Linked DNA regions of Drosophila melanogaster. The protein of the gene in region 1 interacts with the protein of each later gene in a pairwise test. Each region holds a gene or a part of one and is shown on either strand. Other genes may lie near its edges. The genes, in order: NT1 and yellow-g.

What was found.
Region 2: the proteins of NT1 (region 1) and yellow-g interact in a two-hybrid assay, tested with the Drosophila melanogaster proteins (one large-scale study listed by BioGRID).

What each region holds. Positions count from the first base shown.
Region 1 is NT_037436.4:4,500,613-4,513,292, forward strand, and holds NT1 (neurotrophin 1), read right to left. Parts: upstream 7,822-12,680; 5' UTR 7,449-7,821; exon of another isoform or gene 7,337-7,448; intron 5,291-7,336; 5' UTR 5,244-5,290; coding exon 4,788-5,243; intron 4,697-4,787; coding exon 3,792-4,696; coding exon of another isoform or gene 3,788-3,791; exon of another isoform or gene 3,673-3,787; intron 3,568-3,672; coding exon 3,436-3,567; intron 3,067-3,435; coding exon 2,920-3,066; intron 2,853-2,919; coding exon 1,364-2,852; 3' UTR 1,040-1,363; downstream 1-1,039. Other genes in the region: Tie (Tie-like receptor tyrosine kinase), read right to left, coding at 10,624-10,934, 11,566-11,983, 12,046-12,239, 12,304-12,680. UniProt on the Drosophila melanogaster protein: Neurotrophin which may function as a ligand for the Toll-related receptors Toll-7 and Tollo. Binds to Toll-7 and probably acts as its ligand in promoting motor axon targeting and neuronal survival in the central nervous system (CNS).
Region 2 is NT_037436.4:2,266,229-2,276,347, reverse strand, and holds yellow-g (yellow-g), read left to right. Parts: upstream 1-3,578; 5' UTR 3,579-3,656; coding exon 3,657-4,097; intron 4,098-5,208; coding exon 5,209-5,405; intron 5,406-5,839; coding exon 5,840-6,383; 3' UTR 6,384-6,467; downstream 6,468-10,119. Other genes in the region: CG32302 (uncharacterized protein), read right to left, coding at 6,567-7,508; obst-I (obstructor-I), read right to left, coding at 7,819-8,478; CG13806 (uncharacterized protein), read right to left, coding at 8,881-9,744, 9,817-9,846.

The DNA.
Region 1 (12,680 bases):
TCTTTCTTTCGTGACGAGATAGATGTTTTTGAAGTCGTCATCGTCGTCGTCATCGGCCGTTTGTTAGCTTCGGCCGCAAATGAAAGCGAATCTGGCCAGCCGAAGTGACGTTGCAAGTAGCTGCCAGATGCAAGTTGCAACGTTCAACGTCCAATGTTATAACTGGTCAAAGTCGGGGCTCAAGCCGTGTTTCGCTTTAGAAACCCACTTTGCATACGCCACAACGGTGGCTTGGCACATTGCAACTTTCTGGTTGCTGTGCAGAAACTAGTTTCTGTCTTGAATTCAGTTTTCGATCGTGTGGGTAAGTGTTTTTATTTTCGCAGTCTCGAATCTCATTAGTGCCCGCCACTTGACCCTCAACTTGAACTTCGCCGAAAGCCACTGATTTGGTATTTGTGTCATTTGGGCGAAAGGCAGAGCGAACGGTGAATTAATTTATGCACTGTCCATTTAATTTGGGTGTTTTAAAAATATGGGGAATAATGCGGTCTTTAGATGGGAATGATTTATGCGGACTTTGATATTCTATGGGAATATCTAATAGGAATAAATATATTCATGAGATTTTTTGTGAGTGGAAAAAAAATTTTTGTTTCTGTTTGTAATTTTAATAAATTCTTTGACTCTTCAAGGTACGTAATTAATTGAATTTTTAAGTAAACTTTTCATTGCAAATAATTGTATTTAAATCTTCTTCCAAACATCTACATTTGATTAAGCTGCAAACTATTAAATACTACAAATGTCTATATTAGTCACGTTTTAAATTAAAAAGCACCATAATTAACATTGAATTGTAGGACTTTATTTAATTGCCTTGTACTTGAATTTATTACAAGATTATATTATCAATAAAACAAAACAGCTCTTTTAATGGCAATGCCGTTGCGCATGCCTGTTTTGTTAACAGAAGTCAGAATTTTAAAAAGCGCCTAAAAGATGCTATAATATTTGTTCTGTTAGCTTCAGTGTTAACAGAAGTACAGTGAGTGTAAAAGTAAACTCGACACATTTCTTAAAGAAACAAACACGTGTTAAGATTTCAATAAATTATATTTATTGCTAGAACTCTCGTGACAAACCAACCAAGCTTTTGACCAATTGAACCTCCCCCAAAAACGAGGTCATCTCTTAATCTTTGCACTACACACTACAAAATAAATAAATAAATAAACATAGTTGGTTAAACATTAGAGTGGGTTTTGGGATAAATGGGGTTGAGATTAGGAGCCAGGTAGACAAACTACAAGATTAGGCTCCTGGCGAGAACGGCAGAGACTACGAGCTAAGGCATCGGCGTTAATACGTTAGATTTCGGGGATTTGAGGACTTTGATTTTGATGGACTCATGCGACTTAAGCTACTCCACAACCATGGGCAGCCAGGCGTTATCGCTAGCGAAACCAGCACCACCACCCACAGCACCTGCACCACCCACGCCACCGTTATGTGCCCGGTAACCCATACGCCTCTCGTGCGTTTTGGGCACCGGAATGGGATGTTGGTAAACTCCAGTGATTGTCTCCATGCCCAAGCCCATGCCATTCTGTTGAGATTTGGGGGAATTCTGCGGGAATATACGCTGCTCCACTATGCGGGACTCTTCTGCGATGGAACTGACTGTAGCCGCCGCCTCCGCCTTGCGATTCTTCTCGAAGAAATCGATAATGGGGTGGTAGTTATAGTTAATCCTCTTGCCCGACATCTCGCTGCCACCACCGCTGGGGAAGATCGAGCTCACTGGATAGACTGCCGGCGGTTGTGGTAGTGACGTCGACTGATCCCGCTCCCACTGAGTGGTGCGCTCGGTCGAAAGGGACGACGCTGACCCGGTAACCACTGCTGTGTTGGTCGTCGTGGTGGCTGGTGGTGCATAGAAGCGGGGTCGCGATTTGCTGCCACCTTGCCGGTTGACTGGTGAAGATGGTGGTGAGGCTGTTGGTGGTGCGCCTGGTGGTGCGATGGCACCTGCTTGATGGGCATGGGCGGCATGGGCAGAGGAGGCGCTGGAGAGGCCAGCACTGGCGCTGAAACCGGAGACAAAGCCGGATCCCGGACTAAGGGCAGCTGTTCCCGTTCGGGCTGGTAGACTTGTGGTCTGTGGAAATCGTAGGCGGACGGCAGCTCCTCCTGCGGGCGATGGTACTGAAGATGATGATGCTGATGATGTTGCGGTGGTGGGGGCTGTGTGGGTGGAGGCATAAATACGCTTGCGATTCAGCGGGATACGCGGCTTCTCTGCACCGCCGTTTGGTGGGCCAGCGAATAGGTTTACCTCTTGGTCCGAATGCGTCTCGCTTGGCGCCAAATCCAAGTCCAGACGCGCCTCTGAATGCTGCGGCCGCCGGCGGCTCACCTGGCTGTAATACTTCTTGGAACTGGAACTGGAGCTCTTGTATCCGCCATAGCGATCTTCGTCATCATCAGGGGGACTGAGATATGGACCCACACTGCTGCTAATACCAGGCAGCTTTACGCGCACCTTGTTACTGCTGGAATACAGTTCATTTGTCTCCCGATTGTTGAAAGAGGGATATCGAAGACCCAGTTCGTCCTCCTCGCTCTCTTCGGCATAGTCCAGATCCTCCTCGTTTATGGTACTATACCCATTATGACTATGATTTATGACAGGAGACTGGGGAGAGTAATCTTTGGCTTGTATGGAGGAGAGCGGTGGAAACTGCTGGCGATAACCATCCACTTGGCAGGAGCAACAGGTGGGCACCTTAAAAATATCCACATGGAGACCACGCACTTTGTCCCAACTTAATAGACGATGATAGTTGTACACCTGCGAGCAGTGGGAACGGTAAGTCTGCGCCAAGTAGGAACAACTCTCGACGGGATTACTGTTTATAAATGCAAAGATTGCAAGTTAATACCATGTTATTCAAGTGAAAAATTATTTTCACCCACCTGCATTTTTCCAATCTTAAGGTTTGCGTGTGCTGACCAGTGTTCACTATGTACTTCCATTCTCCTGAAGCTGACTTGGCCTTCTGGGGTCGGGCATAACGTACCACGCTCTGGCACATCCCACCTGCGCTGCCTTCGTCTTCACGCCTTTAATGTGAAAAAAAAAATGAAATATTTTACCAAAATTCACCGTCGAGCATTTGGCTTTTTAATTGGTCTTTTCAAAACTAATATAAAAGTATATTCCTACACATTGTTTTTTTTCATTGGTTTACGAAATATAATGCCAATATAACTGATAAAAGTGTAATAAAATTTGTGTGACCTAATATATTATTTTATTATCATAACTTTGTGAAGAAAATGACTTTATGTGGCTTATGCTCATATGATTCAACGACAATTTCAATATACAATTTCGAAATGATCACGTTTCCTAAAACTTTTATAGTCAAAACTTATGTTATGACATTTATTGTCAGTTATTTGCTATCTTTGATGATCTTTTTCACTTACCTCTTTTTGCTCAGGCTGAAGTCATCGAAGTCATCACTAAACTCCAGATTGTTATTGGGCTTGTCGTAGAACTCGGCCAATAGAGCGGACATGGCGTTTTTGTGACGCCTAATGCTGCCCATGATCTGTTCACTAAGATTTCAAAATAATATATGCAGTTTCCAACGGTAGACTTCATTCAACAACTCTAACCAAAACCAATAACTAAGCATAAGTGCAAGGGAAAGTTGGGCAAGTGTGATTCATAAATTAAAGTTTTATTATGGCTAAAATTCGGACTAAACTAGAGCTAAGGACTATGGACCGGAACCAGGACCCTGGGAGTACCGCTCACCAACTAGCTACGGGAATCTTACAGCGGATAGTCGTCGGTTCGGATGCACATGTTGCTGGTGAATCGTTCGCATTTCTTGTTGGGTGGTGTAACCACGGGTTTATGGGAACTGGCGGCGGTCTTCGGTCTTCCCCTTAAGGAGGATGTGACTCTCTTTCGTTTGATGGGAGATCCAGATTTTTGACCAGGCAGTGGTCTTTTCCCCAGTCGGTAACGTGGTCCAGCGATGAGTTCCTCTGGACTTGGTAGTGGTTCCTCAGTCTCCTCGGCGCTGTTTCTTTGCAGATCTAATCGCTCATCAGCGCTCAGGGGGATTTCCGTGCCATTAAGACCAGCAAAAGCCAGATCCTCCACCTCAGAGTATGACTGGCCACCATTGGAGGAGGCCATCTTCTCCTCCTCCTGGCTACTTGGCTGTTGAAAAGCTGTGGTATTCAGCTTGATGGTACGTCCAGCAATGCCACCCAAAAGTTGCTGCTCGGTCACAGAAGCAGGCACGGATCGGGTCAATTTGTGAACAAACTCGTTTGCCGATCGTCGAACTCTTTGACCATGATTTTCTGGTTTAAAAGTCTTGGTTTTGTTATCATGAAGATCACCTGTCAGGGCCTCATTGATCATCTGAGGATCAAGCACTTCTGACCCCATCTCATCAAAGAAGTCCTCTAGAGACTCCAATTGCACCTCCTCAGTAGAGACCTTTTTTGGCTCAACTTCCACAGCAATGGTGCCCAATTGGTCATCCTGTTGGGACTCTTCTGGAGTCAAATCATCTTCACGACGATTGATGGGAGTATGGTAAAGGGCAGATGAAGCCAGATCAGAACCCAGATTGATGTACTTGCGGGTAGAGCTCTTTATGAGATTTGCGATGTCGAACACTATGGGCAAAAGCAGCTTTTTTTCATTGCCAAACATCATGCGAACCTGATTAAATTAGAAAAATCATTAGCCAGTTTTTTTTTTTAATGCAATGTAATGTAAAATAATATTTTTTTAAAAACGTTCTCAAACACACCTGTTCAAACTTTAGTTCGTGCCCCTTTTTTGCATTCATCTGAGCCGAGATCAAAGCGGAAAGAGCCAGGCGCTGTTGAGAAGATAGCATTCTTAAAATGGGCAAAACTTCGGCGAACTTCTGGCGCAATCCCTCATCCGCCAAGGCTTTGGCCAGAGCGTTTCTTAAAACCCTTTCTCGCCAATCGAAAGGTGGTAATTGTTTCTCCGGCTCCGGTTCATCCAGATCTACGCTAAAGTCCAGCATATTCGACTCCAACTTCTTTTCGGCCTGCTCCGCCTTTTTTGCCTCCTCCAGATCATCCAGCTGCCAGTCCTCCATAGCAGCATCATTTGAATCCGCAAAATCAAAGTCCATCAGCTCATCGTCGGCGGAGTTCCCACTGACCAGATCCAGATAGAGCACACAATAGAGCAGAGCCCAGAAAAGGCAGCCGAAGGCGCGGCCAGCTTTCATTTTCACTCTGGCTTTATTTTCTTGGCTTTGTTTTTAATTGCAGTCGTCTGCGAATGACAAAAGGCAAAGGAAAGTTAAAGCGAGGGGGCGGTCACTGCTGGTTATTAAGTTGGATTTAATTTTCCGAAATATCAGATGAATGTCGTCTTATTAATTGTTTATTTATGACTATAGTGCACCTCAGACGACACTCGCACGCTTTCAAAAAAAAAAACAGTTTATGGCTTATTCTTAGACGGGTTCAATTTGTCTTGGCAAATTCAAAACCATTCATATTTTTGGCTTTCCATCGAAAGCAAGAGTCATTAACATGAGCGTAAACTATTACGACCGTGCAGCAAGAGTCATAACAGTCATCTTGGCCAGGCTATTACAGCAGCACAGTCGTCTCCGGCTTTAGGTAATCGCACTCAGCCATCGGCGTCGTCATCATGATCTTCACTGTCATCTCAGTTGACTGCCCAACAAGGCGTGAAGCACCGAAGCTGCTCTGGTTGTTGCTATTTTTACCATTTTAATGTGTATTTTCGCGCACGGGGTTATGACTCCTGACTAAACTGGCCGTTTTGCGGTAATATGGCATCCCATCCAAAGGTCGGGTGATTGATTTGACTGCGCTTTAGCTTCCTATCATCATGATGAAGACATTTGTCAGGCTAAAAGAGCTCTTCCCTCTTCCCTATGAACTTGGTTTTCTCTTCTTGTCTATGCAAATGTGTTCAGCACAAAGGAAAGTCTTTCTTTCATTTTGTTCGTTATTTATATAGTCGACTACCCCAAGGAGCCGACAAATCTGAATGCTAACAACACCCAAGCCAGGAAAACTCCTCCGAGGCAATGGCTATACCAGCTGCATCGATGTTATGACCTTTTGTGCAGATGAAAAGTGAAAATTTGGCTGCAGCAGCGGCAAACAGTTGACAGTTTAGAAAAGGCAGCCAAGGCCAGCATGAAAACTTATGGCGGACGTGGGCTAGAGAAGATTGTCCAACGATTCACGTCTCTTCGGGCACCCAAGGCAAGGCAAATAATTGAATGAAATGATGCGCACAGTTTGCGATGCACGAACGTGAGGATGCTGCCGTTGTCAAGATGCAGGCAGGCTCGATGTCTTTAATTTATCTCGCACACCTGCGCGCAGAAGACCCCGCTAATGGATCCTACGAAAGGGGAAGAGAGATGGCGGCGCTTCTGGTTTTTGTGTGGCCTTTGCATTTACGTATAGATACTTTTTTGACGCTGGGAAAGCGGCATAGTACGATAAATCAAATTAAGCCAATAAGTCGCAGCCGTTTCCCATATATGCCAACCATTATTTCGGTTCCCAGGCATCCCAGTAATTTCGCGTGGGTGCCATTTGCAAGAAAGCAAATACAAATTACAGACGAAAATGGGAATGGCAATGGGTTGCATTTGAAGATGCTGCACTCCGCTTGCATGCGATCTCTCGGCAAATTCTTTGGCCACTTTAATTAACTTGTAATTTGCGTGCGTTGCGCAGACAACGAAACGGGGCCAGTCAAAAAATAAAAAAAAAGGCAAAAGAAAAACAAACGAGACGAATTGAAGAAAACAAATTAAAGCGCTGCAAATGAGAGGAGAAGCATCTGAAAGCGAAGCGCAAAGCAAGAAAGTCGCACTGACAATCTCCGCAGAATCCTACTAAGCAGACTAAGCAGCCTCAGAAGCAACTAGGTGCTAACCGACTAACCTAGTAAGCGAACCCGCTGAACCACTAACCACCAACAGCTGTCGAGCTGTATTGGACAGATCGGGGATCAATATCTTCATCGCATAGGTTTGGCCATCCGAACTGACATATAAATTCCCAACCAACTTACTGGGCCCTAAACGAAAGACTTAAGACACAAACTTGACGACCGCCGAAAAGCGGCAACTCATATCAATAAACGAACACACACGCACACGCTTAAACAGCGCGGACTGACACAATTTCCTCGGGCGTAAAGAATAAAACGAATTCAAATTTTTGTGCGTCGTTGTTGTTATTGTTGTTGGGTGTAAGCGCTTTTTTGTTTTCGTTCATTTAGAAAGTTGTTTCCATTTCACATATTTGGCTAAAATACACTCACAAATGAAATGCTATTTTAAAATTCCAATTTCGATTTTGTTTCTTGTTCTCCGCTTTGCGCTCTAGTTTTTTATGATTAATTTATAAAGCTAAAGCAGAGCTTCAGAAATCACCTCAGATCAGCTTGTCTTCAGTCCACTGTTCTTCTTTTTTTTTTTGTTCTCCAAGCCACTCCCTTCTCCAGTCTTCCGAGCTTCGATATATGTATTTAGCTTGATCACTGTTTATTTCCTGTTGCGGCGCAAGAACCGAGTTTCCATTCCACTCCACTTTGCATAGATAATTTTCACTTTTATAGGCTCATTGGCTACCGCCTTCGCTGATTTTCACACTTTTCACACGCGCCTTAATTAACAGAAATTTCTACTTTGCCACACTTCTTGAGTCTGTCCGCTTGGCATTCACCTTCGTTTTGCTTTTGAGACAGCTTTTTATTTTTTCCGCCTGCTACGTCTGAACGCTTTCAACACTCGCCGCAAACTGATTTGCTGCCTCAACTGCTGCTTACTGCTTCTTTACCTACCGCTTTTGCTGCTGCTGCGGTTGTTGTTGCTGCTGCTGCTGCGGCGACTTTGGCTCAGTTGGCGTTCTGGACCCATTGCAGTAAATCCAACTTAGGTGCGTGCTTGTGCATTAAAAAGTGCGCATCGGCAAATTGCATTTCTTGTGCAGTTCGCAAGTTCATTGAACCGTTAGTTGGTTTACATTTGCATATCCATGCATGTGAAATTAATTAACGTTTAGAGCGGAAGTTTGCCTATATTTAAAACTGTATGTAGCAGCCTCGTCTGCCCAGTTCGTGTCTTCAGTCATTTGTTTTGGCACTGGGTCAGGAAGCGATTTGTCCAAAACGGAAGCATGCTAAACGGCGTATCTAAACTGCTTTCTATCGGCATCATTAGCCACGAAAACCACTTTGACCACTTCATCAGGCGTTACGGCCGCCCGCGAGGGTCAGCCCCTAAAGTTAAGGAAAGAAAATTAATTTCCAGCCACGGCACTTTCGTTTTTCAAAACAACAGCCCTCGGTAGCAACTTTGGGCAGGTGGTTAGCGCCTCCGCCTGCTTTTCAGCCACCGAACAGTGGGACAAAATTTAGTCGTGCAAATTTTTATTTTATCTTTTAATGCATAGCAACACAAGTTGATATCCTTGTAAACTATTCAATATATATTATATATCATAGCCAAATACATGCCTAATTTTATTAAGATTAGCATTATTAAAATCTAAAATGAAAATTTAGGATTGAAATAATTTTTTTTATGTTCGTAAACTCTGATTAAATTGCTCCTATTTTTAGCTAATTACCTTATATCGTTTTGCACCCCACTGTGCAATGACTTTGACTTGCGTCTAATAACGACTTTTCGTGATTTTGACGTTTTGCTTTTTTGCGCTTTATTGTTATTTCTTCATCATTGGTTGAGTCCATAAACTATCGGCTTAACTGCTCCAGGGCAGTGGCAAGTGCATCCTCCCTCCGGCTTCTATGGCACTTTCAATGACCACTTAAAGAGCATTTTCTTCACACTTTCATTGGTAACCACAGCGGCAAAACGGTACCAGCTGAATTTTCATTTCATTTTCACGAGCACGCAATGTTTTTCAGCCTTTACGCATTTTATCTTAATGTCCATTTGTCGACATTACCGCATCGCTGGCCGTGTGTTTAATTGCAGCGTCATCAATCAAGCAACCATAGCCGAAAGTGTCCTCACTCACTCAACTTGGTTGCACTCGGTTATCCATGGTTTTTACTCGCATATCGTTGCAATTCGCTAGATTTTCCGCTACCGGCGTTCATCCCGGCTGGCCAACTTGCTGACCATAAAACATAGCGATGCACTTGGCTAATTTGCACATTAAATTTTTATTTTTATATTTATTTCTTTATTTTATGTTTGTTGTTATGTTTATTGTATGTTTGTGTTCCGGTCCGGTAGTGAAATATTACCTAGCACCGCAGTCTTGTCATTTCATCTGGCGATTGTTTAGCCTGCATCTTGTATAGTCCACTTGCTCTTGGAATATTTGTCGAGTGCATAAAAACATTGACATTGAAAATAATCAGGTTTGCCTTTTAAGTTCGCATTTCAGTTTAATATTCGAAAAACACGCCGTATAAGTTATAATTATGCATTCCTACGCCTCTTATTCTTGTCCGATGAAAACTCTTCGGCCAAAACAATTCCGGTTTTTAATTTAGTCATCTGTCTTCAACAACTTTTAAATTTGTAAAGTACCCGCAGGGGATTTACATAAAAATATGGTTCGACAAATATACGAATAATCATTAATTCAATGATTGTGGAAAAACGACTATTAAAACTTTAAATAAGTTTCAGATTAAGACTTTATTTCATAATGCAAATAATATCTCCAAAACTTAATTTGGTTCAAATATCTTCCAATAGATCTATATATATTTTTTAATACATTATAAAATTATCAAAATATTGATAAAAACCAAATTAAGTGCTTGTACTGTTTTAATATATATATTTTTCTTTTGAATTGCGCGCTCAGTTATTTTGAACCAGTTTTTTGGAACTAGTAAAGAGAAGCCAGACCTAACGAAAAAGCTGAAAGCTTAAATAAAAGTTAACATGATAACAGACAGGCATTAACAGAAATGCTTACCGTCTGTTTTCACCATGTTAGCTTAACATAATACATCATAATCAGTATTGCCACTACAATAAATTTCCATTTAAATTTATATAAAATAAAAAAAGCATTCAAATGGTGTAATATTCATAATTATATTTCGTCTTTAATTAATTTATTTGTACAATTCTATAGCTAGATTTCAATACAATTACATAGATCCTATGCGCTGCACGCCTAAATCAACGATTTATTTTCTTATTACTGACGACGGGGTTTCAAAGTTTCCTTTTGTGCAGTCAAATCTTGGCTACATCCAGGGGAAATAGCTCAACTCGAAGATGGGATTTTAGATACAGACTAGAAGAACTAAGTGACGAACTTTAAACTAAGCATAGGTAGCGCCATTCATTAATCGTAAGGCCTAGAACGTATTTTGTTGTCTCAACAAATAAATATTTACAATGAAAGAAACTTCCGGGGCATTCGAAATGGAAAATTAACAATAAAATACAAATAATACTGCTCGACAAGGACGTCGCAAGGAAGGAGAATTTCGAAAGATCTACAAGTGGGCAAATAGAGATGTGTGGGCGGTGGATGAGTTGTGGATGGATTGGTTGAGATGCACAGTTAGTTGGTGGCTCCTCGACCGGGTAGGGGTTGGCTCAGTCAGCGTCATATTTCGCACTCGAACTCCGAGATCCGGTGATTGAAGTACACCACTCCGTGCTCGAGATCCTCGCTAAACCCGCTCACGTCCATGTAATCCGAGGCCGCTGAGTCGTCGTCCACCCACTTGTGCAGTGACCTTGTGATCTCTAGTCTGGACTGGGCGAACGAGGGTCGCATGTGCGGCTCCTTGTGCCAGCAGCGGGACATCAGGTTGTAGAACTCGTGCCGGCTCTCCTTGGGCAGATCGGGCCTCAGACCCTGCGGCACCCGGCGGATAACCTCGCGTCCCGTTAACTGCGAGTACGGTGTTGATCCTGAAATGAGACATACAAAAAGGTAATATAATGCTTTAATAATCTGAAAACAGTTTCGTAACGATATTCACATTAAAGTTATTTTTAAATGTGTTAATTTAGCCTCAAAGCAACTGATAATTCCCAGTCAGTAAGTTTATTGATACGTGCCTGAGCTTAAGTCTCTTTTTTAATTGCACGCATAAAACAAAGCACAATTAAAATTATCATTGTGTAATAATCATTAAAATATAAATGTGCTTTTAAAATAGTTAGGAACAACTTCTAATAGAATATGCTCATTAATATATCGTAAATCGATATACTTCATAGACAAAATCTGGTTCTTTTAAAGAATAATGCTATCATAATATACTTTTGCCATTTCAATTTGAATTGATGGCTGATTAAATGTCAGGTTGATCAAGCGGATGTTTTTTATTGCTCTAAATTTGAATAGATCAATGTAAACGTTATTTCTGTCTAAATAAAACCATTTAGATCGAGATAAAACATCTTCAAAGGGGAAGATTTTTTGCTGCAGAATTAATGAAACACTCAACTCTCATATCTTGGGTTATAAAAACCCGGCGGAAATAGAGTAGTGGTCATTTTTCTTTTTCTCATTTCATTCACGGGCTGAAAAACCTACCCAGAGTGGCGATCTCCCAGAGGACGATGCCAAAGGCCCAGATGTCCGTTTCGGTGGTGAACATGTGGTACTGCAGGCTCTCCGGCGCCATCCATCTGATGGGCAGGGCGTGTCGCTTGCCAATGGTGTCGTGACCATGATGCGACTTTTTCTCCCCGTGCGGCTGATCCTTGGAGCAGTGACCTTGGCCCTGACCCTGACCAAAAGTGTGCTGCCAGTGCTGCAGGATGTATCTACTGCCGAAGTCGAACTTAAACTTGTGCGCATTGTGGCGCATCAGATCATTCGCCGCATTCTTCTCCTGCTCCTTGCGCATTCGCTCGGCGTCCAGATCGATGGACATGCCAAAGTCACAGATCTTGCACATGCCGTTGTGATCGAGGAGCACATTGCGAGCGGCCAGATCTCGATGAACAATCTATTTTGGTTAAATGTTAATAAATATGGGTTTAATAGATTATATCAAGATTTTTTGCTTACCCTCCTCCCTGCTATGTACTCCATTCCACAGGCTATGTCCAGTGCAAATCCTGCCAAGGTTCGTGGCGATAAGGGCGCCAGACTGCGACCACCTGGAACGGAGGCTGGCAATATGTTTGTGGCACTTCTAGCTGCTCTCAGAAGGGACAGAAGACGACCCCTCATGGCGTACTCCATAATAAGCATGTGGGGTTCTAGAGGAATTTTTAAAAATGTATTATGAATAATCCCCAACAAGAAATTTCCATTAGTGCTCACCACTTTCCACACAGGCACCCAGTAGGGTAACCACATTCTGATGGGATCCCAGCTTGCGCATGATATTCGCCTCGTCCTTGAGGCTCACCTGTGCACTGCAGGCTCTGATAGTCTTAACGGCCACGATTCTAGTGGCTCCGAAATGACCACTCAAATCGTCGGCCTCTGCCTTCCACACCTGACCAAAGTTTCCCTCGCCCAGGAGGCTCTTTAGCCTGATATTGCTGCGCTCGAAATCGTGAAATTCGCTGGCCAGAGATGTCTTATCATCGTTGTTGCCGTACCTATTGTGGTTCGCATCCCGCTGAGATGCCTGTGACATGGGCATGGCCTGGTGGTGCTGATGGTTCTGATGGTTCTGATGGTTCTGATGGTGC
Region 2 (10,119 bases), 2.2 Mb from region 1:
AATATGAACTTGTATACATTAATTGAATAGTTTCAATTCCATTACATAACTAAAAGCCAGCCATTCCCAGGACAGAAGCCAGGGAAGTTTTCGAATGGAGCCAAAGGACCAAGGCGAAGGACACATTCCTCCCGCAATTATCCAATCGACCATAAAAATGGCATTGCAATTATTGCAGTCAATTGAAAACGGAACCCCAACAAGTGTCTCCAGATTGGTGGCGATATTTTTAGCTAATTAATTGCGGGCAACAAAATGACCTCAATCTGAGATTTTGCCAGCCATAAGTTGGCCCATAAAGAGTGATTGAAGGAGTGAAAGAAAAATCTCAGCATCCCCGGGATTTCCCTGCAGAATTCCTGGGCCATTTCGCCATTTCCATCACCATAATTGCCCCTAAATAGGTTAAGGCCCTCGATACGGGCAGACAACCCGGAATCGCCCCAAACCAAAACCAACGTGTTTGGCATGTTAAATTGTCAGCCGAAACCCGCATTCCGGTTGGCTTTTTCCCCACCCACCAGAATGATTTATACGAGACAAGCGCACATATATACATATACATACATAGATGGAGCGCAAAAAATTGATGACAAGCATTTCCGGGCTGCTCATCTGACATAATTTATGTAAACACTTACCTCCCAGCAACAAAAAAGTTTTGGGGGGTAGATAAGAGACTGCCGGACGACTGCCGACTGACCCCCATTAGCTGGGGAAACTCCACTCACTGCTCGGCAAAACCATGGCCAGACATTCCGCAGGACGTTCTCCACACATTACATTGACAGTTCTTGTTTATGGCCCGTTAACGGGGCGTATGCGTCATCTGCAAAGTCGGGGGATTATGTGCGACTTCTTTAAAACGCGCTGCGCAACAAAGCAAAGTTCAACTTTTTATATGTGTGCCAATAAAAATCCAATTGAAAACGCAAATAAGCCAATAATTTGTCGTTCTTTTTTTTTGTCCCGCAGCAGCGGAAAAATGTACAAAAAAAAAATTGTCTGTGGTCACGTTTGATTTGTTTTGGTAAATGGGCCAAATGAGGTTTATGCTTTTTTAACTTTGTGCTGAGGAAAGCGATTTTCTTTACCGGGAATTTCACATAAATTCAGACCAACCTTTTCTGGAAATGCTGAACTCCAGGGTGGATTAATAACGTCATTTAAAATAGTATTTTTATGATAGTTATAGTTAACTAGCTATAGGTAATATATAGGTAATTTGATTTAAATTGGTTATCACAGAAAGTTTTCAGGGGCTTACAGTTGTAGTACAGGGTATTAAAAAGTCATCAGCTGCGCTTAAAGTTAATCTTCCCATAATTTTTTGGCCGCTCGCCTAATTTATGTGCTTTGCTTTCACTTTGCTGGCTTTCTTTCGTCGGCCAAGTTTTGTTTACGTCTGCTTAAAGTTGTCCACATTGGCTCTCAACCTTTTGCAATCGCCATAAATTATTGCCTTTATCCAGTGGCCCATCTTGGTTTAATTGTTTTGCAATAATTGAATTCATTGAATTCATCCGACAAATTGCTCTTGGCAACCCGCTGCTACTGTGTGTGCATATGAAACATTCACTTTTTGCACCCAATGTGCTATCAATGAGTTTACATTTGCCATTTAAACGCATCTGTCGATATCAAGGAGAAAATATTTCCAAATGAGTGCGGACAGTTCCCACAAATACACAAATACACTATCCATGGAATATGTTGCCAAATTTGTTGAGTTTCAATACACAATTTTATTGTGAATGGTCGATTTTGATATCTTAATCATTTAAAGTCTAGAGATGAATAAATGATTGCTGATTTCAAGCTTTGCCATAATCGTATCTGTAAGCTGTTTTTGCAGAGTAAAAGAGTCTTAGCATCGTCAAATTTCCATTTGCATACTTTGCTTTTATTTATGTTGGAGCACATAAATATTTATCCACAGATTCGGCCCGACTGACAATCCCGCCCACATATCACAGCACTTATCACATCCGCCTGCTTTTGGGCATGTGTGTGCCATAAATCGGGGGATTACGATCGTGGGAAGGGGGGTTTGGACCCATGGCAGTTTATTGAATCGGAATTCACAAAAATTCAATCTGCATGTAATTTGGCATTATAGACAGACCCTTCCCATTCCGCCATGCGGAAGGAGCAGCCAGTCTGACCCCCGATGAATGGGTTATCAAAATGTTGACCCGCCGATGGTCATTTGATGATGGGCAGCTGTAAGGAGATTAAACATTTTGTGATTTAATGTAAGCCCAGTGCTGTCCATAATTCGCTGCACGAGCTGTCCCAAACAAAAGACTCTTCAGCTGGACACCGACTCCTCCACCGCTTGCCCGAATGTGTCAAAGATTTTTTATTCGCCGCTTGGCGATATGTGGGTTTCTACGAGTTAACGGGGTCATCGACCACGTCGGGCGGATACACCTCTAATCCCCCCGCAATCAACGTGCAAAAAAGTCCACCAAAGTCCACAAAGAGACTTGAGCAGCCAACAAAAAAAAATATGGCAAAAAATGTAGTTCCAGGGGGCACCCGGATTTGAACCGGGGACCTCTCGATCTGCAGTCGAATGCTCTACCCCTGAGCTATACCCCCGACTTGAAAATGGCGAACTCAGAGCGCCTTTTAAAGTTCCCTGATGCGATAAAATTTCGCCTTTGCATTTATCTTAAAATAGAAATGAAATCAATTTGGAACAGAGTGACTGTTCCGCGAAACTGTGGGTGTGATTCACACGACGAATCTCCGGCAACTTGCAATCTTATCTGCGAGTAATGTGCCCCACCAACTCCCCGAACTTTCTCCTTTCGCCCGCCCCCTCCCCCAAAAGCAAACTGATAGCTAGCTGCAGACGGACGGACTGACAGATGTTTTTGTCATCCGAAAATAGCTGGTAACTCGAGCCAAGAAACTGAAACTTTCTCGGTCGCAGATATGCAGGTCACAGACGTCAGCATTGATATTGAACTTTTGGGCCACTTTGGCAAGTGTTTCGCAGCGACCTCTGAACTTTGCCTGCCAAGGGGTGAAACTTGCTACTCTGTCGGATGCACAAGAGCGATCGATGAGTGACAGAAGCTATTTCGCAACTTGAACCCATTTTATTGAACGGACTTGAGTGACTAATTAGCTGCCTATAAATGGCTATAATAGCACAAAGTTATACTCAGAAAATAAGAGCAATAAAAGGAGTAGAAGTGATTAATTAGACAGGCATAGATTGCCATAATAGAACAAACTGTTATCAAGACAATTAAAGTAAAAACCAGGGGAGTTAAATTTGATTTGGATGGCTTAGGAAGAATCGTGTAATCTAGATAGAGGGAAGGGGTTAAGTTTGCATTTCATTTCCGCATCGCTTTCCGCATTGCTTAGAAACCGAGCGGGCTTAGAGGTCTGGCCGACTTCCGGCGTGGGCCAGACGTGCTGGCTGGGTGGTAGCCACTCCAGACAGACACTTGTTCCCCCCCGTGTCAAGCAACCAACGACCTTGCCGCAACACGCTCCACATGCTGGCTGCATAAGTCGTTGGGTATTATATATAAATGCAGGTCTACCATCGCTCAGACAGTTTTATGTTCTGGCCAACGTGGTGAATCGAGTGCAGAAGCTCTGTTTGTGGAAAGCGCAGAAAGAAACGCCGAAAAATGTCGCAGCTGCAACTGCTGCTCCTCGTCGCTTCGGCCTCCGTGGTCCTCGCGGGATACAGCTCCTCCACCGACGAGTCGACGGACGCCTCCAACTCCATTGGCGGCACCAAGTGCGACAAGAACCCGCTGAACGAACTGACCTTCCAGCTCAGCGGCAGCAGCCTCCACTGGCCCTGCGAGTCCACCAAGAACATCTACGTCCAGTCCGGCCGCTATGTGCCCCGTAACGTGATCGTGACCCGGGCCCAACTGCAGCGGGACTCCGCCTTCGTGGCGCTGCCCAGGTACAAGCAGGGCGTGCCCTTCACTCTCGGCAAGGTCAATCTAAAGAAGGGCGAGTGCCTGACCAAGATCGCACCCTATCCCTGCTGGGCCATTCAGGAGGAGGGCAACTGCCAGGCGCTGCAGTCCGTCGTGGACATAGCCGTCGATCAGAATGTGAGTGCAATTAACGCCAGTATTGTTTGGACCATTTTTTTTTTGGGGGTCAGACAAGTTGTCTCGTCCAAACTGCCAGTTCTGCCTTTAATTACGGACTGCTCGTTGTTGGCCACCATGGAGGCATAGCACTTTAACCCACACCAAATGTTTAATTCATATTTGTATCGTGGGTGGATTACAGGGTAGCATTGAAATGCTCTTAGGGCTATTCACTTTTTTTTTCTAAAAATGATTTAGTTTATCTTCTGATATTGATATTGATGTGCAGTCGCAGTGTTAAATATTTGCTAGCCCTTACAAAGTCGATCAAAATCGGGAGTTTAGCTCCAGGGTATCGTTTTCGCATTAACCCCTTGCCGGACGCACTTTTTTAATTGGTTAGCCTCGCTGTCGACCAAATATTACTTTTTTAATCAAATAAACGGGGCCACAAAAGTGAAGAGCTCCAAATAAAATTCATGCCCGTCAATTGGCGGCAGCAATTTAAGGGTAGAATAAACGGATACGGAAACGCCGAAAAAGCTGTGGGGTAAATGGAATATTATAAAGGACAAGGACTGCAGCTGAAAAGTGACAAGCAAATGCAGTGAAAAGTTCTCGAAAATAATTTTGGAAATGCTGGGAACAGGCCATCCAGCCGTGTTTTGTGCATTTCGATTGCACTTCAGAAGTTCTCAGCTTTAATTTTAAATGACAGATGCATTCGCAGATATTACAATGATGCTATTAAATATTTACATGACCTACTTACGATTGCGAGCATAAGCTGCAACTTAATAATTTCCTTCAATTATTGTTGGCGTCGAATCGTTCTCATTTAAATGCCATTCCCGTTTAGCTGCATTTATGCAAATCATTTCTTTATTTTATTTACACAAAAGTCGACGAAACAATAACAAACGGCAAACAAACGAGGCGACTGTATTTATTTATTTGCGCAATTTTCCATTCAGTGCTTTTCGCTGATACTCATTTTATGGCCACATATTTGCGAATGTGGAATTTTTAACGCCGCCAACATTTCAATTAGCCGCCAAATGAAAACATTAACAACAATCAACACGAGCTGCAATTGATAGCAATTAATAATTGCCTTCTCCGTTCGCAGGGACTTCTGTGGGCCTTGGACGTGGGCATTGTCAACACCCTGGAGCAGCCCATCCGCAGATGCAGTCCCAAGATCGTGGCCATAAACACGGCCAACCACAAGGTGGTCAAGAGCATCGACCTCAGCGACCTGGTCACCTCCGAGAGTCGGCTGCAGTTCATCGTGGTCGACTACTCCAAGGACAACAAGCCATTCGTGTGAGTTCCATTGCCTATACTCTTTTATTACCCTTAACTTCATCTGTGAAATGAGTTGTACTTAATCACTTTTTGAAATACATCAACTATGAAATTAATACCACACATTACATTATTATTAACCATTATTACTAACCATTATTTATCAGCACAATGATATTCAGAGATTCATATTGCAGTCATAAAATATTCGTTGAAATCATCGAACTGAATCAAGAGTTTGGAGTACTTTTACCACACACTTTCAATCATGCTTTCAATCAGCGATCATTGAGCCAATCAAAAGGGCATTAGCCACTTTGAGGCTCATATCTTATCTGCTCAAGGTAGTTCTCAGAAGTGTGGCTCATCATATACCAAATAAAATCGATTTGTATTGCATACATGATATCTAATCTCATTCCACATTATATTTCCTTCACTTTCAACCATAGCTATGTGGCCGATGCTGGAGCACGTAGTATCCTGGTATACGACATCACCGGCAACAAGTCCTACCGCATCGTCCTGCCGAAGGCCACCGCCCCCACCAGCGATGTGCTGTACGTGGCGCTCACCTCGAAGCCGGACGGCACCTCCACCCTGTTCTTCAGCTACCTGAGCTCCCCCCGTCTGTACTCCATCAAGGGCGAGTACCTGCGCGTTGGCCAGGGAGCGGGCTCCATCATCGACGTGGGCCCCAAGCCCTATGGCAAACAGGCGGTGCTGCTGGGCGCCGACGGCGGCACCTCGCTCTTCTTCCGCTACAAGGGCGAGAACGACATTTACCTGTGGGACTCGGAGACCTGCTTCAAGGCCGCCAATCTGCAGGAGGTGCAGCGGGGAGGCGACTGCCGGCTGTCCACCCAAGTGCTCCCGGGTCACAAGCGATTCATGTGGGCGCTGGAGAGCAACTTCCACGATTTCATCTCGGATCGCACGGGCTGCAACGGAGCCTCGATCGTCCTGCATCCTGTGGTGCGGGAATGTGACGATTGAGTCCGTATCCCTCCACTTTCTTAGGCTTAAGATTCAAACTGATTTGTTGTCGTTACTGGGTCTCATTAAAATTTTGGTGAATATTTATAGTTATTTGTAGTTTATCTTAAAATGTTCAGAATGATTTCAATTTTTTAAATAGGCATTTACTTGAATCAATATTGGTACCATGAAAACAATTCATTACTCTGACTCTGATTGGCACTTTCGAGTCTCAGCATTGAAATACTGTCCCATTGGACAGCTGTAGATCTGCAGCTGGTGATCGATGCATATGCAGTACTCATCCTTGGTGGAGACATTGGGACAGCTGAGGATCTCAAAGTCCGAGCACTGATAGATCCTATCAGTCACGCAGGTCAGGATCTTAGGATCAATTTGGAAGCCGGCGGGACAGGTCATCACCTCCAGTTCTCCATCGACGCACTTGCAGTACTCGATCTCAGAGGTTCGGAAGGGGCATTGGTACCTATCGTTGTTCATGCACGTGTGGGACTCCATCGCCTGAATGCTCCTCATGCTCCTGGTGTCGGGCACACAGCTGTAGCTGTTGAAAACGAATCCCTCGTGGCACTTCATCATCAGCGGATACAGCGAATTGGCCGTGTCATTGACGCAGACGTAGAAGTACCGATTGTCGGGCGCCCATCCACCCACTTGTCCCGACCGACTGCAGGTGAACTGCTCCTGGATGCACTGCTCACTCTCCCGTGGCAGAACACAAGTGCCCGTGAGTGTGGAGTAGCCCGCTCCGTTGGAGCAGATGCGAGGGGTGTCCACACTCTGATCGCTGCACTCGTGGTACCGCCTACAGTCGTACGGATCCGGGAACAGGCCCGCCTGCTGACAGCTGAAGGGACCTCTCTTGGGCACCTGGCACTGCGACTGGAAGGTGCATCCGAAGGTACCCTCGTCGCTGCAATAGAAATTGTACTCCGATTGGCAGCCCAGCATCGAAATCGTTTCCCAGCTGCCGGTGGCATCGCGGATGCAGTAGCCCAAGGTGGTGCAGTTCATGCAAACGAAGCCGGGAATGCGCACATCCTGGCAGGGATTATCATTAGCCCACGCCGATCCCAACGCCAGAGCGAGCAGGATTAGACAAACCGGTACTGAAGACCTCATCTTGAAGACTGTTGGCTGGGTCATCTGCGGGACTAGCTTTTATAGCACCACCTAATCAGCCAGGCAAGTGTCTTTTTCTTAATTAAACAGATAAGCTTCTCTAGGTATTATCGATTTGATAAAGAACCAAAATTTTACGACGTAATAATAAATTTAGAAAACTTACTAAGCGTAGCTAAAATTGTAATTATTCGAAGAGTATCATCGAAACTGCGAACTGATAAATCCGGAATTCATTGAAAATAGTTTAATCAGTTTTAATCAGTTTTATTCCAAGATAGGCTAGCTACAATAACTATAATATGTTGGGTCAACAAGTTCCAGTAACGCACGCAAAGGAAATTAGATTGAAGATGGTTCCTACCGAGCATCTGAAATACTCAATATCACTGCCCTTTTCGCGACAATGATAGTACCCAGAGCAGTCAGCGGGATCACCAAACAATCCAAGCCGCTGGCACTTTCCAGACGAACTGGGCAACTCGTCGTCATCAGATCCTGTGTTCAGGCAAATCTGCAGCTCGTCATCAAAGGTAAAGCCCGTTGGACAGTAGTTAAGATGCCATTTGCCATCGATGCAGAGGCAGAAGACATCGCTTGCCGTGCTGTTAGGACATGGGGATGGAGTATAATCGTCCTGGCACTCAACGCTTCCCACCCGGCAGACCAATCGGTTGGCATCGAAGTAGGTTCCTTCAGGGCATTTCCAGATCTGAAGGTGCTTATCTTTGCACACGCAAAACTCGTCCATTTCTGTGGCCATCGGACATTTGCCGATTTGGTGATTGGTACAGCTGGTAGTGTCTGTAGATACGCAGGCTTGGATAGTTTCGTTAAAGTAGTAATCATCTGGACAGGATTCAGCAGCTGCATCCAATCTGAGCTCCAGATAACTGCCGTTCCCCAACCCTTTTCCCGTTTGAAACAACAGAAAAGTTAGGAGGCAGATAATCAGGCGAGATGAATCCATGTTGCAAACTTTCTAAGTAGACCTCTTCACACTCCGCCTTATATAGTACCTCACAACCAAACGCAGAATGTTTCGGTATAATTAATAGATAAACTGCAATGTTGTCACGAAAAAAACATTCTATGGAACATTTATGACCTAGTCACAGCACTCTTAGCAAGAAAGAACCAAGACAGTACTAGTCCATTTCTATTGCACTTTTATTGGAAAAAAACAAAGAACTCATTCTGGTTTAATTACCCACGGACATGGTGGTTGAATCTTTATTATCAAACTGATACCTTTTGAAATGGGAATTCATAAATTCATGTCAAATAGATTGTTATTCCAGGGTAAACATGAGTTGTTTATTAAATGTAATCCATTGAAGAGGAATAAATAAAGTGCAGGAATGCATCTTCCTCAGCAGCTTCCCAGGACGCAGGAGGATAGCTCCGGTCGGTAGTAAGTCCCATTGGGGCAGTCCATGTGCCGCAGGGTGCCATTTAGAGCCGAGCAGTAGTAGTACTTCCGGCAGTCGTTTCCATCGGCCATCAAGCCCACGTGCTGACAGGTGTTGGGCAGCACCGAAAAGTCGTCGTCGTTGGGATCCTCGATGATCACCGAAGGATCATCGGTGCTGGGCGGCAGGACATTCGATCCGCTGCGGCAGACGTAGTCCACGAAGGTCTCGCCATCGTTGCACCTGTGCAGCGAGGGGTAGATGACGATGGTGTCGTTCAGGTTCTGGTTAACCGTCGACTTGCACACGTAGAAGATATTGGGATTGGTGGGCCAGGCGGCCACGTGTCCGGCATTGGGGCAGTAGTACTGTCGCTGCAGGCAGACGGAGTCAGTCAGGGTCAAAGTGCACTGGCCAGTCGTCGCATCGAAGGCCTTGTCGTTGCCGCAATCAACGGCAGCAGCCACCAGAGTGGCCCCCACGAAGTAGCACATGTGGTACTTCTGGCAGTCGTACGGATCTGGAAAGATGCCTTGCGAGGTGCACTGAAAGTTGCCCTCGATGCCGAACGGATGACACGGGCCCGTCTCGTTGGTGCAGCTCCCCAGCCGGGCGTTGCAGTAGTATCCATTAGCCACGTCGCACGATTCCACGGGAATGTTCACCCATCCGTTGGAGTGACGCACGCAGGTGGCCAGCAGCTCGCAGGACTCGCAGATGGGCCCGGGACTCTGACGGCCCTCGCAGGAGTTTGTCTCCCGCGGCTGGATGCGCCGGGTGGTAACAGTGGCTCCCATAAGCAGAGCCACCAGGTTGAGCAGTAACTGTTGGGCGGTGGGGACATAAAAATCAAATGCCATTCACTTAAGTTTATCCTATTCTGAAAAACTACCTACCACGCTCACTAGTATTCTTTCCAAGAACATGACGATGTATTTCCCCTTTTGGACTTTGTTTCTGGTTAGTTTAGGTCCAACTTCCACGAGAATCTTCGATTGTCTGATTCAGACTCATATGGTGACAGCAATAAAAGTCCCGAAATAGCAGACTTTAGATAGCGTTTTATATCTTTTGGGTGTCTGTTTGTCTATCTATCAACTTTGAAAAGGCGATGGGAGTTGGGCAAAGTGGCAAACGCAGCGGCGTTTCTAATTACAACAACTACGCGGATCGGAATGCCGCAATGATGGGTGAGTGAA